Oreochromis niloticus: one gene and its partner. The protein of the gene in region 1 interacts with the protein of each later gene in a pairwise test. Links are inferred from orthologs where the notes say so. Each region holds a gene or a part of one and is shown in the gene's direction. Other genes may lie near its edges.

Region 1 (8,072 bases):
CTATCATATGCAAAACTGGGGTGGCACTTGGGGTGGCAAGGGATCATTTTAGGGTGGCACTTGCCACCCCATGCCACCCTTCTAGATCCGCCCCTGCTGGTGAGTTAACAGCATATCACTGCATCATACGCCAGGAAAGGCTGTGTGGTAAAGTCCTAAAAATGGAGCATGTAATGATCACCGTAACGCGGACCGTAAATTTTATCTGAGCTAAAGGTTTAAATCACCGTCAATTTCAGTCTTTTATGTGGGAAATAGATTCAGAGTTGGGATAAAAATTCTCAATAGAGTTTTTGAGCTCAGCAAGGAAATCAGTGTCAGATGTCAGTTGGAGCTGCAGTGTAATGATACACTCAAGGGAAAGTAAGACACTGAATGGCCCGAAGAGTTTATTAGTTCCATTCCTGAAGCAATGCCCCAGCTCCGTCTAGATGCGGCTCCAACCTTGTGTATGCTGTCATTTATTTTTTCTGTGGTTTTTGGCAGCATGTTCATATTTCTAACTTGCATAATTTTCACAGGATATATTTTTATGAAGAGCAAAATATTTAAAGTTAAAGTTTATTTTTTTTAAGTTTATTTAATCTGGAATAATATTCCTGTCTGTTTTTTATTCATATTTATGTTTAAAAAATATTGTTTTAGTGTGTAAATATTTATCTTGTTTGGCCCGCGACCTAAAGTGTGCCTTGAGTTTTGGCCCCCTGTGCGATTGAGTTTGACACCCCTGACTTAAAGCATTAAAAACTTTCACAGGTTGGCTGACAGTTAAACACCAGTGCATCATTTCAGACCCACCACTGAGTTGAGTGAATATTAAAGTTACAGTTTACAGCCTGCAGTGCACTCGTCAGGACATCAGCTGTTGGTGGTGAGCGGAGAATCTGGGTCTGGTTGCACAACTGCTCCCTGCTCTCTTAGCTGCTCTTACAAAGGTTAAGAAACAGGACACTCTGATCTATTTGCTGCAATTCCAGACACTCACAGTACACTGACCTTTCAAATAGACTTCTCAGAAGGCATCGGATCATTAGCAGCGCAAAATGCCAAGTGTCTAATGAAACTGTGCATCGCTGGATAGTTTTGTTCAGTCGGTAAAGACGTAATGGGCTTCTTCCATTAGGCTGGAGATCTACTTGACCCAGCAGCACTTAATCTAAATGTGCTCAATTAATGTCTAAATGCATAATACTTTAATTATGCTATAGATGTTCCCTAAAGATGGATGTTAAATTAAAGGAAAAACCTAATCTCTTGAGTGAGGGGATCTTGTGGCTCTGTTATGCTGACGGGGAACATTGGCATAGTTTGTACTGAGTTTCTCAAATCAATACAATGCTGTTCAAAGTAATGTAATATTTCTAGCGGGATGTAGACCTCTCTTCCAGGGTGAGATCTCCATCCACAGGGCATGAGAGACTGTCATCATTTTCATCTTCAAACTGAAGGAGGGTGGATGTGTGTTCATGCAGGAGTGATTGCAAGTTAGGCATTCCCTGATTCATCATCTTTTTCTTTTGTTTAAATCCTACTTGGTGCCGTAATTGATAAAATCAATGCCATGCTGCAGTAAATAGGACTTAAAACTGCTGACTGAGATGATAAATTCATTAGGAAGGCTCATAAATTTAGTGAGAACCCATTTGTCTAATGTCGTCTTGCAAACAGAGGATTTCCCATTAGGAGAAAAAAAAAAGTAGTTTTACTTCACTCTTTAGACCTATAGGCTGTGTTGAATCTTTATATACAGTAAATGTCTGTTACTGTCTGCAAGATCACTGCGTTATTAGGACAACACTGACATCGTGTGGTCTGACTGAACTGCAACAGACTACTTTTATGTCAGTCGGCTTTAGGCCATCGTCAGAGCATGTGCTGGTGACGCAGAAGATAAATATCGGACATCTCCATTCAGTCCATCCTTTATTTACAGGAGCGCAGTGCTGCGCTGGTTTCGGCACCTAATCTTGCGTCCCTCATTGGCTCCTCCCAAGTGTCTCCATCTCTGCTGCTCGCTGCCAGAGAGGATCAGTCCTTCATTGACCCGGTCAAAGCTGGAACAAGCACCTCTGTTTACAAGGTACAATCATGAATGTGTCTGTGATCCTTAATGAAGATGCCTCTGACTCCAGCTAAGTAAACATTTTCTTTTTCTTTTCTTACTTTTTTTGTTGTTGTTTTTTTTACTGTTGTCACTAGACGTTGATGGGCAGTGTGCCAGACAGAGGAGGACGACCTGGGGAAATTGAGCCTCCTATGCCAGCATGGACAGGGAGACGCTCGAAAGGCAGCAGAGGGGGATGGGGAGGCGGACAATCTCATAAGCATAAGAAGAAGAAAGGGAAAAAAGATTAACTTGTCCATCTTTTTGGCCTTACTCATCAATTTAAGAAATAAGTGATCATTTTGCTTTATTGAAATCCTTGTTGCGAGGTAAACTACGATTGGGAAGTGCTGTATATAATTTTGTAGTTATAAATCTGTGTATAATTTATAGTTATAAGTCATGCACATACCAGATTGTGTACATTTCTATAAAAGCAATGAAGTACTGGTACATGACCAGATATTTTGGTAAAAGAGCAGAAAATGGAAAAAATGTTGGCTTTCCACATTTATCAGTAGGTTTGTTTAAGAATAAACCTCTGAAACACACATCTATTGGTATTTTGTGCAATTTACATAAAGCATTTTTTAAGGATTATTGCATGAATATTTTATGCTCACTTCACATTTTGGAGACAAGAGTTCCTCTTGCCTTTTTTAGGTGATTTCATAAGATAGCAAACATGTTTATGTGGAATGAAAAAGCCTCACTTACATCTTAAAAAACTAAAAGGACCAGTCGGTGAAGGGTGACTTTGAATATCTAAGAATGTTGTTTTATTGTTACACATTAACCAAGACTCACTTCCCCCTGAGAGAACTCCTTGGTACAGCATTGAGTCATCTCTCTAGTCCCAGTGTTTCCACTTCAAAGTCTAAACTGCCTAAAGAAGGAAAAGATCATCCAAATATTAATTATCTTAAATATATTTGGAATAAACTGGTTTCAATGTTTAATTTTGATCTTGCCAAACCCAAAGTTGTGCTAAGGTAAAGCTCATTTTGACCAGAAGTTCTAGTAGTCCACAGTGATGTATTGAAATAATTTCAAGATCTTGTACACCAGTTTAATAAACAACAGTTTCAATTGTTTTATTATCTGAAACTCCACCCTCAACCATCTGAATTCTGCAGATAGTTATGGATTAGATTAAGTACCTGTGAACTTTAGGAAATGGTATTTTAACATCTGTCTTTTCTTCTCTGTTGATTCAGAGCCTGGACAAAAAGGCCTCTTGAATTTTCAAAAAAAAAAAAAAAAACATGAGAAAGTGGTTTAAGTCTGAAATTGGATGAGAAAGCGTGAGAAAGGACTTCTAGGAATACTGAAGTAACGGCTGATGCAAAGAACATCTTGATCAATTTAAGATTATGAATTGCTTTTAACAAGCTGGGACCACATCCTTATTTAAGTTTGATAACAGCAGATTGAGAAAGCACAAATTGAAGCTGCGGTTTGGGAACGGCCTCAGAGGGGACTGGCAGCAGATCCCAGGCCAGGCAGATCTAATGAGAAGTGACTGAATTGGGAAAAAAAGGAGAGAAGTGTTGGGCATGAAAATGAGTACAAACAGCTTGTGGCGCAGGAGGCATATACCAGTGCATGAGGTGTGGTCCTGCACCTGAAATTCAGATAAATTATCTCCAGTTATTGGACACCATACAAGTTTTGAGAATAGGGGTGAAAGATGCAAATATATACTTTGCTAAAGAGCTTCTGATTTCTTTCCACTGTTCTGCAGTGATGGACACAACATGTGGGGCAGAGTTGAAGTTCCGATTTTAATTGGGAGTAACCAGAATTGACAAGATTAGAGGTGATTGTTTCAGAAGGACAGCTTGTGTTCAGCAGCTGGAGACAAAGTTAGAGAGGTAAGGCTGAAAAGGTTTGGACATGTGCAGAGGAGGGATAGTGTATCTCCAAAAGTTGAATCTGTTCATCTGGACGTAGCGTCCAGATGAACAGATTCAACTTTTGGAGATTTACTTTCCTGGATGATTGAGAATGCATCAAGAAGGGATAGTGTATGTTGAAGATAGAGGTGCCAGGCAGGAGGAGACATGGAAGATTCATGGATGATATCTGATTTAGAGAAACTAAATCACATGCAAACAATAATTAACTTATTTTATGACACACATGCGTTTAAATGTGTTATTTTCTTCTTATTTAAAGTTCTGAATAAACCTTATGCAGCATTTCGTGGGTAAAAATACATACATATATATAAAAATACACACACACACACACACACACACACACACACACATACATATATATATATATATATATATATATATATATATATATATATATATATATATATACACACACACACACACAGTTTAAAGGACAAAGAAATACATATGAAGCACAATGTGAGACGACCTTGATCCTACAATATGAAAGATGTAAATAATATTATATGACAATATCAAAAACCGGAGTTCAATTTTTTAAGACAAATATTGAATAAAGCAAAACCGTTTAAGACTTTGTTGATGGCACAGAAAACAATTCTAACCTAGGTGAACAACGTAATGCGTTACACAACACTCACCTGGCGGAATCGTCCTTGTTGTGTATCCTGCACACCGGAAGTTACTCGGGAGACAAATGATGTAACACGAGGAAAGTTCCGGATTGTCTAAAGGTCGCTGAATATAAAGCGGCGTGACAGCGTCAGTGTGTTTTTATTTAAACCCGCAGGTAAACTGATCTAAGTGTTCAAAATGCCGAGAGGAAGCAGAAGCCGGACGTCGAGGATGCCCCCTCCAGCCAGGTAACACTTAGGGTTTAATTCCCCCTTTTTAAAGAAAGGTAGAGTAGATATTTTTAGTTAGCACAAATGCTAACGTTTAGGTAATGTCATAGTGCCGTATGTTAGCTAGGAAAGTGCAGGTCATGAGGTGCTTCAAGTAGCTTATAAAGATAATTTCAATTTAAACCTTAATTGCTGGTTAATCTGGGTATTGCTCAGAAAGTTACTGTGTTATGAAAATGATGAAGGTCATTGTCTTTATCGTGGTTTCCTCTGTAAAAATCCCCACATGCTAGCGAAGCCAGTAGAGTTGCATCAGCTTCTATAGTTTTTCTTCTAACCTGCAGCTAAACTGAGACTTTATTCTTCCGAGTTATAATTAAATAAGTCGCACAAGGGTTGGAAGTATTTCTTTCTCTTCTCCTTGTGGGAAGTATAATCCCTCTGTGCCCTCATTTCTCTTTCACTAAATATATCTGAAACTAAGCTGAATATATAGCTGAAACTAAGAATTGCAAGAACACTTTTGACTCTTGGTGCTTAATAATTTGTGCCAATGTCTCCACCTGTAAGGCCAAGCTGCATAGGGAAAGACTGATTATTTTCCACAGTGACATGTTGTTTAAAGTTCACTTTGGGCACAGGTGGGCTTACTTTATCCAGCTACAGGATAACACTTTTTCTTAGCAAGTGAAGAACAGATCCCAGGAGGAGACGCAAATCCCTTCGTGGTTGCATCAAGAAGAGCAGCTGAATATTATTCTCGCCTGTGAATAAGTGATCAGCTGAAAGTAGCTCTTTGTTGTCTTACTAGTGTGGAGATATTCTCCGAATCAGAGCTTCACCTTTATCTAAGCTTTCATAAACCTTTGCAGTGAGTCAGAGTAAAAGCTTGAATAACAGATGTCAGCTCATATCTGTTTTTGATTGTGTTTGGACTAAAAAGGTCTTAACAAAACGTTTTTGTTACAGCCGGGCTCCACCATCCCCACCACCTATGGCCCGGGCTGCTCCCCCTCCCTCCTACGCCCCGGCTCCGATGCAGGTGCCTCCGTCCGCTGTCGGCACGCCAGCCGCAGCGCCCAGGCAGCCGGGTATGTTTGCCCAGATGGCATCTACAGCCGCTGGGGTGGCAGTAGGCTCCGCGGTAGGCCACACAATCGGCCACGCCATGACTGGAGGTTTCAGCGGAGGACACTCGGAGCCTGCCAAGCCTGACGTCACATACCAGGTAAGCCCAGGTTTAGCCAGCCACAGGACTGGAACAGTTTCAAGGAAGATTAGGGTGTCTGAGACATGGTATGCAGGGCCTTTGCACCACGGAGCAGGTGAAAAACAAACACCACATTTTATGTAACGCATGGATGCAGTTACATGCACTGTGGTAGCTCAGTATAATAACAGCCAGATGGAAACAATACTGTGAATATTGAGACTTTTAACTAAAAGCAGTGAAGGAATCATCTTGCTTTCATTAAGACTCTTGAGTGCAATCAGTGCTGGTTGATTAGAGATGAATTACTCCCTCTGCTCAATCTGGGTTTGTTTTTTTGTTCTGGTTTTTTATGTGTACACACATGTGATCAGGGTGTTTTGAAAATACAGACACAGCTGCTGAAGGAAAACCTCAGTTATGAAAAAGTCCAAAGGCCAAATGTGGTTTATTTACATTCACACAAGTGCAGGGAAATATGCATAATGATGTTTGTCTCATTAACCCTGAACCCAGTACATCACTATTATCTTTATGCAGTTACATTCATAGTAGATTTTAAGATATGAGTGATGACCAGTCATTTACTCTGCTTTTCTTTATGACAAAAAGGACTGAGAAACCACACGCACTTGAGCAGATTGAGGATTGCAGTTTTAGATATTTCAGCATTTTTATCGATAGATGTGTAAATATATTTACTTTGTGTCATTGATGGAAGATATTCCATCTTTTTGATACAAAACTGAAACTCGTTCTGACACTTTAAAATCTGTTTTGGTCTTTAACACACATATGATTTAATCCTCTGGCTTGTGTATATTAGGAGCCATACCAGGCCCAGCCCATGTACCAGCAGGGGGCCCCTCAGCAGCAGCAACAGCAGCAGGCCTGCTCCTACGAGCTCAGGCAGTTCGTCGAGTGCGCCCAAAACCAGAGCGACCTCAAGCTCTGCGAGGGCTTCAGTGAGGTGCTCAAACAGTGCAGGTTTGCTAATGGTGAGTGAAACATGTCCAGGCTTTGTATAAAAAGAGACTGCTGTGTCTTATAGTCGTTGCTTTTAATCATTATTAGTAATTTGATTTATTTAAAGTGAGTGTAGTTACAAAATGCTAGCTAAACACTTACTACGCATGAGGGGTAGACGCATAAGCTGTTGCACATTTTCAGCATGCTCCTGTGCTCCACATAAAATTCTGTTTAAGTACTGGATCTTCCTCATGCATATCAAATAGATCGAAATCAGGCTGTTGCTTTTTCAGTCTCATTTTTCTCTTTTTAAATGGAGTTTAACCCAGCAAGCATCGAGGCTTTGAATGAGCCCTTAGTCGCTCACATATCAAAGCCAAATGACTTTGCACTATTCTAAACTCCTGTAATACCCAGTGTGGCCATAAGGGGGAGCCTTAGTCTAAGTATGTTAAGTCAGTTTAAACCATTTAAAGTATTAACTGTCCTGGTTTCTCTGTTTCTACAGGTCTATCATGAGAAAAGACGCTATCTGCAGAATGAAGATCACATCTCCTTATTAAAGATACTGGGAGGGTGTAATTCACAATCAATAAACATGTTTTAATGATCAATTGTCATCGGACAGCCTCATTTCTCAGACTGCTGCAGAGCTTGTAATCATAGTCTTATAAATAATGTTTATATATTTTGGTTTTAGGTTTTAGTTCATGTTTGAGGTTTATTTTCAGTTGTCAGTGCGTGCTTTTAATTTAAATCCCGTCTCTCATGTCAAGACTTATAGAGAGAAAAAAGGCCACTTTCACCTTCTGGCTGCTGCGGTTTGATTCAGACTAATAAAACACTTGAATTAAAACGAGACTCTGTGATTTTTTTTTTGTTCCAAGTCTCCTCCTCATATGCGCTCTGTATTATTACATTGAAGCGTTTCTGTTTTCACCTGCGTTTTCTTTAATTAGACTTCAGCAGCTACAAAGGGGTGTCCCGCACCTGTCCTGTCACTCTGCTCTCAGCGCAAAATT
Region 2 (8,665 bases), on another chromosome or scaffold:
TACTGCTTTTGTTTCCTGTCAGATTCCCTCCTTAATGGTGTCGTGTGGCTGGGAATTTAGTCACATTTGTTTTGGTTGCTTTTTTTTTTTTTCATTTCAGTCACAATGTTGTGAATTCACACGCACTAACGGTTAAATGAACTTTGAGTGATTCAGAGCAGTCGTGTTGAATCTTAAATTATTGCTGAAAACTGTGACTCGACCAGAGAGAAGCAGATGAGCTGCGTTGGTCCAAATTACACTTGAGCTTGACATAATGTCTGTGAATATTACATCACACTGAGTCCACGTAATAGCCACTCTGGTTCTTGAAGTGAAGTGAGGAATATGTTGACACTGGACGAGGATTTGGATTAATCAGGATTGTTTTGTTTTTGTTTTCTTGGCTGGGGTCATGAATGATGAAGCGCTGCTCTTCTTCGATGTTTCCATTTGCTTTGGTCGGAATCAATAAAATTATTTTTGATAAGGATTTTCGTCTTTTGTTTCCTTGTTCTGAAGTGCCGGTCATGTTAAACATGTGATCGTAAATGCCGTCTGTGTTGTCTTTAATGTCGAAATATGTTTTTGTTACAGGTTTGAAAATGACTTCCTGTTGTTCTAGGTCAAAACAAAAAACAATCAGGACATGGCAAGAAGGATGTAGAAATGTAGAAATGGGGGTTAAACCATGCAAGGTTGAAGGAAAAAGCCTGTTGCCATCTGCTGTGCAGCGCAAGCTAAATCCTAACAATTTCATTGGGATTATAGCAAGTGAGTAATCCAGCTTTCCTTTAGGACTAGAGAGGAGAGATTACCCTTGAGGATTAGCTCCCAGCAGATAATAAACTTTATTAAAATGCAATCGGCTTTTGTGAGGCTTCTTCCATCCTCACACACACACACTTAGAGGTGGGCTCTGCTGGGGAAGGGCAACGGCGGACCCTCAGGGGCGGTAACATGATGGGATGAGGGGTGGATGAAAGGAGTACTGTGTGTGTGTGTGTGGGGGGGGGTGGGGGATAAATGGATGGATGGATGGAGGATGAGGGTTTGATGTTGAGATCACAACCAGCACAGCTGAAGGACAACCAAAGCTTGATCTTGAGCTTTGTGTTTCCTGGAACGCCAGCTTGAATTCCCTCGACTCCTGCCCCTTACCTCCACCTTCCAACCTGTCACCAACGCATACGTGGATAAACCCTCTGATCTTATCCTATAGCCCGCTCTATCCCGTCATCCAAACCATGTGTTCAGCCTTTGCAGTTTTGATGATGACATAGGTGAGTTGAGGCAGTCAATTTCTCTCTCCCTCCCTCACTCACACACACACACACACACACACACACACACACACACACACACACACACACACACACACACACAATAGGGTGATTAATAGCCCCACATTAAAGCAGAGGAGCATCACAGCTGAGCAGCTGTGGTTGTGTGACTTAATCAAACTCTCAGGTACTTTCAATTAGATCCTCAATGACACATTATGATTGCCAGACTGGATCGAGAAAAGCAGTTCATCACAAGAAATCTTCCTTAAGGTATTTATTTATGCCTTTTATCCAGTGCATCATGACACTTTTTTTAAATATCGGCTGGGATGGAAGACCATCAGAGTGAAGCAGGAATTCTGTATCCTTAAACTTTTTGCACATCATGAAAATCTTGGAAACATTGTTTTTCTTAAGCACTTTTCTCCCGCACATGCGATCAGTTAATCTGTTTAAACGTTTACCTGTGTTTGTTAGAGGATTGGCGTCAGCCATGCTTTGTGCTGCTCACGCTACAGAAGCCCTTTATCAGGTGTCTTGAGCTTCAGTGAGCTGCAAGTGTTATGCTGGTTCAGACTAATGATGGTTAATGAGGAAGTTGGCAGCAGTGTAATATCTGTCTGCAGCTTCGCCAAGGCTGAGGTGAGCAGTTCACACTGAGGACAGAGGCTTCAAATCTAAATTAGGACACATTCGAAGCTGTTTGCACTCTTTACACCGTTTAATCGAGTTCACACACACCACAAAATGTCAGTTATGTGATAGTATGAATATAGTTAGTGTGTGTAGAGTGTGTGTTGGGCCAGTGCTTTGCCCTCATGACCTGTGTAGGTGCTTATGCATAAAGGTAAACACAGTCCACACTGCTACTGTAATGGAGTCAACTAAGCCACAGATTAACAACCAACAAGCAGCTTTAATTAAAAAAAAGTATGTTTTTATTAAAGCTGGGCACAAATCTCGCAAAATAAGGGTTATCACCATGAGCCTGTCTTATCGGCGTCTTATTTTATCACTTTGTGGAAATTAAACAAGACATAACTAATTAGTGAGTGTTAGTTATGGTTATTGAAAACCATCCATATGGTAGCTGCAGTTTAATATAAAGCTGTACACGGGTGGATTCATATGTGATGGACAGACATGATAGTAGTTTGGCCTCATCAGTGAATTACTCCAACTGTTAGTGTTTGTTCATGTGTTGTTGCCTGTCCTTTCATATTTAACGCTGAAAAGAGTAAATCGCATTAAAAGAAGGCTCAGAAATAATCATTTCTTTCGCACGCAGACTGGAAGGAAACATAAATCCCTGTACAGATTAATCTGCAGTTGTTGTGTTTTCACTCATCTACATGTTTTTCTTTGACTTGTGTGACAGGAAGCTTTCTGCAGTCCACCAACATCTGAAAACCTCAGTTTGTTCAGTTTGCATTGTTGCCGATTGACCTTGTTACAAATCTGTTTGTGTTTTCAAGGTCAAAGACAACAAATGCTTGTAAAAGCAACCATACAAACTGCAAAAACAGCCAGCAAATGGAGCTTAAGGTGAGACTGTCATGGCGTAGCTTTGCCTGCATACCTTGCCACCGTATATCTTCTTGGAGTAATACGAGCTGATTACTTTCTTCTAAACTTTTTTGTGTGTTTTGTCTAAAACTGATGCTTTGAACTGAGACAAAGTTGCGTTATGAAACCACTGACTGAAGGGTAAAAACCTCACCTTCCTGCCCTGTTGCTGTCTTCCATAAATTAGACAATGCAGAGTTTTATAGTCACTCGTCTCCTGTACGCTCTCTGCCTCGATGTTTATTACCCCGCCGGTATTGATATTAAAATGCAGGAGGGGCTTGATGCATTTTTCTGTCATCTCTCTTTCTGACTTTAATAATACTATAAAGCTTCCTGCTGTGGATAGAGGGAGAATGCGGGTGTGGGGTGGAGTGGGGTGGGTTGGGTTGGGGTGAATAAATTATGAAAAAGAGGTTAATATATGGTATTGGTATACATTGCATCCTAACTAAGCCAGATCCCCTTTCGGGTTTTAAACATGCAGCCTTTTAAACGCAGGAGTCACGCAGGGTCAGACCCATCTCATTTCTCTGCTGCAGTCCCTCCCCCTTTCATGTGGACGCTCATCTGCCCAGATCCCCAAACATCTCAGTGAGTGTTCATGCAGCCTGTAACAAGGTTTATGCAATAACATACTTCTGTCAGTTCACTCAAATTAAAGGCTGATGAATGAGCACAGATTATGAGTTTTTGTTTTGGAAATTGCTCCCAAAGACCCCGTACCAGTACAACCAGCATAACCAGCACAACCAGCATAACCAGCACAACCAGCATAACCAGTACAACCAGCATAACCAGCACAACCAGCATAACCAGCACAACACCAGAGTTACACCAGATGAAACTGTGAAATACACCCAGGTCGATGCGTTTGTCTTAGTCGAATGAATTTGTGATTCATTCCACATTAATAAATGTTCTGCAGCCATGGGTTTTATATCATTTTAAGTAACTACTTTTAAACTCCTCCAATATAATCACTTTCACTGCGTCATGCTTGTTTAATCTCATAATTTAACTTTCAGGACTTAAACTTGTGAGTTCACGTCACTGCATCATTTGCATGACAACACAACCCTGACCTTCACTTCTGCTGATCTGGGCTCAGTTTCCCAAAAACATCGTTAAGTCTGGATCATCTCGGTCCCATTGTACTTCTTTACAATGACACTACCTTATAGATGATTTTGGGAAACGGGGCTCTGCTCCTGTTTTCCCCCCACCCCTTCCCCTCCAGAGTTAGCATATAGCTTACAGGAAGTGCTTGGATAATGAAGTTGGAGAGGAGCCAACACTTGTCAGTCACACCGCTTTCACTCACTCAGCCAACACTGCTCCTTTCACCGAGCATCAAAGATGCAACACTGGCTTTCTGTGGAAATCTTTAGGTTGTGGATGCGGGCCTTCACACATTTTTATTGAGTATAATTTGTTATGATCAGTCATCTGCAGTAAAATAATCAGATTTTGATAGTTATCTCAAATAGAAATATCAAAATACAACACTGGAGTTTATGCATTTTATTTTGTTTTGGGTTTTATTTGCTGAAATTAAAAAAAAAAAAGTTTAATTCAATAATTTTGGTCAAAACCAGTCTGGTATTTTAAATGATATGCATTAGCTGTGTGTGCTTCATAAACGGTGAAAATGCGAACTAATTCAGAATGCCTATTTTCAATCTAAGGATGCAGAGAAAACAACAGGACCTGTTTTTCTTCTCTGGGAGGAACTGCAGAGGAACTGTAATCTTGTAGGAGCTGTAATGTGTTTTTGCAGGTCTGTGGACTTCTGCTAATCACACATTAACATCATTTTTGCATCTGGAGGTTTCACCTGAATCCAGATTATTTTTTGCACTCTGGTTTGCAAGAGCAGCTTAAGTTTCAGGTCTCAGCTTTCATTCATCCTTATATCCATTTGCTTTCCACGCTTATCTAATGAAGTTCATGAGGGTCGGGAGTCTATCCCAGCACCTTGGGCGGGTGCCAGTGCATCACAGGACTTATAATTGAAACTGGATGATTTAACTAAAAATGGCTTTCAGTTAAAGAGAGATCCTGCTGAATGTTCCTGTTTGTGTGTCTTTATCTTGTCATAAATAAATAACCCCATATCAATAGTATTTCAGTTAAAACCGTAAACCTCATCAGTGTGTCGTGAAAATAAAGCAAAATCCAATCCTTCTGCGGGCAGGCTTGGCTTAAACTGTTGTAGTTATTCGAGTCAAATGAGCCTATTACCGCCTCGTCTTAGCACGACAGGGTCAGGTTCAATCAGGGAATTGGAAAATATCATTTCTGACGGGAATAGATTTCGTTTGTTCAACCAATCTCTTCTACTAATTACCCAAATGGACAGGAGCTGTCAGGAGACAATAACTATTCCCTAATAGAATTTGCCCCCCAAGTGCAATTTAATTTTCTCCTCCGAGCTCTCTCCTAAGGTTTCCCCCTCGCTTTCTGCCTCTCTCCCTCTCTCTGTTCCTTTCCTGCTTTCGGACCAAATGCGTGGGGACACGGTGCCACTGCTACCTAATGTTGTTTTGTGGGTGGACGCCGGAGAAAGTGTGGACTGACTGCTGCAGTTTCCCTGCGAGCTCTGGCTCACCCCGCTGAAACGAGCTTCGGCGGTATGGAGGAGGAGAAGAAGAAGGCGAGGAGGAGGAGGGAGCGCGGAGAGGAGACAGACTGCCAGGTAGGTCTGCACGATGCGCTGGGCTGTAATTCGTCTTGGAAGTCGAGAATACATTTACGCACTTCTAAAGTATAAGTGTTGCATGAAGGCAAGTCACTGGAACATAACGCATTTGTCTCTGCGATGAATTTTATCTGAATTTGTGCTCTGAACCGTGTTATCATCATTGCGAGGTAAATTTGCTAATGTGCTCAGCTGACATCCGCTTTGGTTTGTGTGACTAACATTCAAATAATACATTTAAATGCGCAAAACTAATAAACACTCAAATGAATCTTTTTCTGCTGTGGCTCGTTATGAGCCAGGCCTGCTGCAGGGTTTGATCCCACAAATGAATCACGCTCCATGAAAGCCTGATCACATAAGATAGGTGTGCTTCTGTATTCTGACTCCCTGCTCTCACTAAGATGGATCTATGAATCGCAGATTTGCGCTTTGGTGACAATGAACTCATCCACTGAAATATTAGATCTAATTAGAGGTGCTTGGGTCAACGGCGGTGGCAAAGGAGTCGCCCTCTGTTTGAGTTATTGTCCGAGAGCTGCCTGCTCTCAAGATTATATTCATTTAGATAAATAACCTCCTTCGAAATATGTATCATAAAAATAGAAAAATCAAAAACATCTTTACTGATTTGTGTTAAAAATGTTTACGAATTAAACTTCATTTGACTGTCCGGGCAAATTTAACAGAGCGGAAGCCGTTTTAGTCCCCTTGGATAATAAAATTAAATATGTCTTCTCTGTAATTTCACACTTCAATTACTATTATTTTTTAACCGTTGTGTGCAGCATAAATATATTTGTAAAATGCAAAACGATCACCCCCCAAATGTGGATTGTTTTGCACATCATTCAGTCGACTAATAGCCACGTTGCCTTGCCATCTCATTTAAAGATGAAAAACGCACCTCATCATTTACTGTCCCACTAAACCAGATGTGCACGCTCGTATCTTCTCTCTCGCTGCATTTGCATCCGTCAATTATTCTAATTGTGTTGCCCTTTGCTGACAGTTTAAGAGCATTTTATCTGCATTGTTTTCTAGGACAGCTAAAGGGCCTCGATTCCAACAATCAGAGTAATTGAATAGTCGAATAAATTGAATGATCTTGAGGGGAAAAGTGTATAATGAAAATAAAGTGAGACCATATGATCCCCTAGCCACACGTGCACGTTACTGATGGATGGATGGATGGATGGATAAAATTCCTGTAATATCACAGCCTGCCTTTTAATCATCCTGATGTCCGTTTTCATTTTACTAAATTATATCTGGAAACGTCACGCATACAGGCGAAGGGGATTGTGGGTCCAAACACCATAGGGGGGCTATAAAAAATAAAATAAATAAATAAATAATAAACAGAGATAGAAGCAGTTTGGGGGCAAAAAAGGGGAAAAATACGCATAATATGACAACTTAAATTTACTTTGCCCGAGCTTGTTCTCCTTTTTTCTGATATTTGCAAAGCCAAATAAAATAGTCCGCTAGATTTGATCTATTACTAGTGCAAAATATTGTGTCACATCATAGAATATCTAAAATATGTGTTGGATATTAAAGAGTATAATTGGGTCGAATTGATACACCACTTGAACTAAAACCTCACCTAAAATAGCCAAGTGGTAAATAAACTAAAAGGAAATGCATTCATTTATTGTTTGTTTTTGGAATAAAGAAAAATTACTGGCTTTGTTGTAGTTGAACATTGTGTGTGTGTGTGTGTGAGCTGCAAACAATCACCTGGGACCCTCAGACGGACTTGGAGTTGATGGAAACAACCTGCGCTGGTTTGGAGGCGGACCGCGGCGGCAAAGCGCCACTGTGTGCTTTTCTTTCCACGCTTGAAGTAAATTGGAAGCGAAGATTGAGTTCATCTAGCCTGAACTAGCGGCCCTCCGGAGGGAATATCTTATCCGGGAGAGCAGTCTCAGACGATGGGGTTTGAAACGAGCAGTGTCAGGAGGACTGCGCCCAGACTCCTAATCCTACCTGTCACTGAGAGAGCAGCTGCACGGGAGCTGCCACTGCCGGGGAAAAGGGCTACAGGTGACGGTGCTGTGAATGTGACTCAGACGTGTCCAATAATATTCCTTCTGTGGTGTGGCTTCATTTATTATTTTTCCCTTTTTTTTGCTCCCTTAGTTTAAGTAAAAGCTCAGATTACATCTTCTTTTTAAAGACATGGATGCTTTTCATGGTACCTACATGCATCTTTATAGGGCCAATCAATCCCATCACCAAATAATAAAAATGAAGAAAAATGCGTTTACTTCCATTAAATTGACTGATGTCGCCATCCCACCTGCTGATATTCTATAAAAGTTAATTTTTGCATTGCATTTGGTCACAGACGTGGGTGCTGAAGAAACAACACTGCAGTCTGGACCATCCATAGGGAAATCTGCGTGGACAGCAGACACGCTTTCTTTTTTATTGCTTCATGGATTATTTCTAAAGTAAAATGTCATGTAGCTGAACTCTAATTTTCCTGGCTACACGGGTCCCTTCTCCTCCTCTCCTAAAGGAGCCCTGCTTGCCCGGGGACCCTCCGGAAGCCACTGCAGTGAGCTATTTATGGTCTCCACGGGAGCGAGGCCCCGCCTCTCCAGAGACTTTGTCATATAGCATGTAAGACTCCCCTGCTCCTCTCCTTTCTCCTTCTTCCTTGTACACCTACTGAGGATGCTTTCCGCCTTCGGGGGGCCTCCTCTTCCTGCTCTCCTATTGGCTCCCGGTCAGCCTCTGCCGCGGTGACGTCAGGCCCCGCCGCCCCTGCAGCGCTGAATGGACCAAGCAGCCTGTCTGATCCACTCCAAAACAGCTCAACACGGCACGGCACAGCACGGACACCATCCCGGGAAAAGGGAAATAACAGGAATAGAGGCTAGACGGGACAGCGACAGAGATCAGCCTCCAAACCGCAGAAAGGCCCAACAACATCAGCATCATTGTTTGTTTTCTCCACGAGACAGGACGGGGGAGTGCGCCCACCGTTTTGCGGGTGTATGTGCGTGCGCTTGTCTCCCGGTTTGGATCACGATGATGCAAAGTGCGGCGGTCCTACCGACAGAGAGTCCTGTGAAGAGTTTACCGGAGATTCTCGGAGTGCCACTGCAGCGTAAGACATTTT

The links. The genes of interacting proteins can lie anywhere in the genome.
Region 2: the proteins of chchd2 (region 1) and lhx4 interact in binary tests that used the Homo sapiens proteins (3 or more experiments, as listed by UniProt). The two-hybrid records come from large-scale screens. The link is inferred for Oreochromis niloticus from reciprocal best matches to the Homo sapiens genes CHCHD2 and LHX4.

What each region holds. Positions count from the first base shown.
Region 1 is NC_031979.2:20,060,722-20,068,793, reverse strand, and holds chchd2 (coiled-coil-helix-coiled-coil-helix domain-containing protein 2), read left to right. Parts: upstream 1-4,718; 5' UTR 4,719-4,839; coding exon 4,840-4,889; intron 4,890-5,840; coding exon 5,841-6,099; intron 6,100-6,907; coding exon 6,908-7,079; intron 7,080-7,558; coding exon 7,559-7,569; 3' UTR 7,570-7,906; downstream 7,907-8,072. UniProt on the Homo sapiens protein: Transcription factor. Binds to the oxygen responsive element of COX4I2 and activates its transcription under hypoxia conditions (4% oxygen), as well as normoxia conditions (20% oxygen).
Region 2 is NC_031986.2:44,083,764-44,092,428, forward strand, and holds the start of lhx4 (LIM/homeobox protein Lhx4), read left to right. Parts: upstream 1-5,305; 5' UTR 5,306-5,529; intron 5,530-7,261; 5' UTR 7,262-8,319; coding exon 8,320-8,653; intron 8,654-8,665. UniProt on the Homo sapiens protein: May play a critical role in the development of respiratory control mechanisms and in the normal growth and maturation of the lung. Binds preferentially to methylated DNA.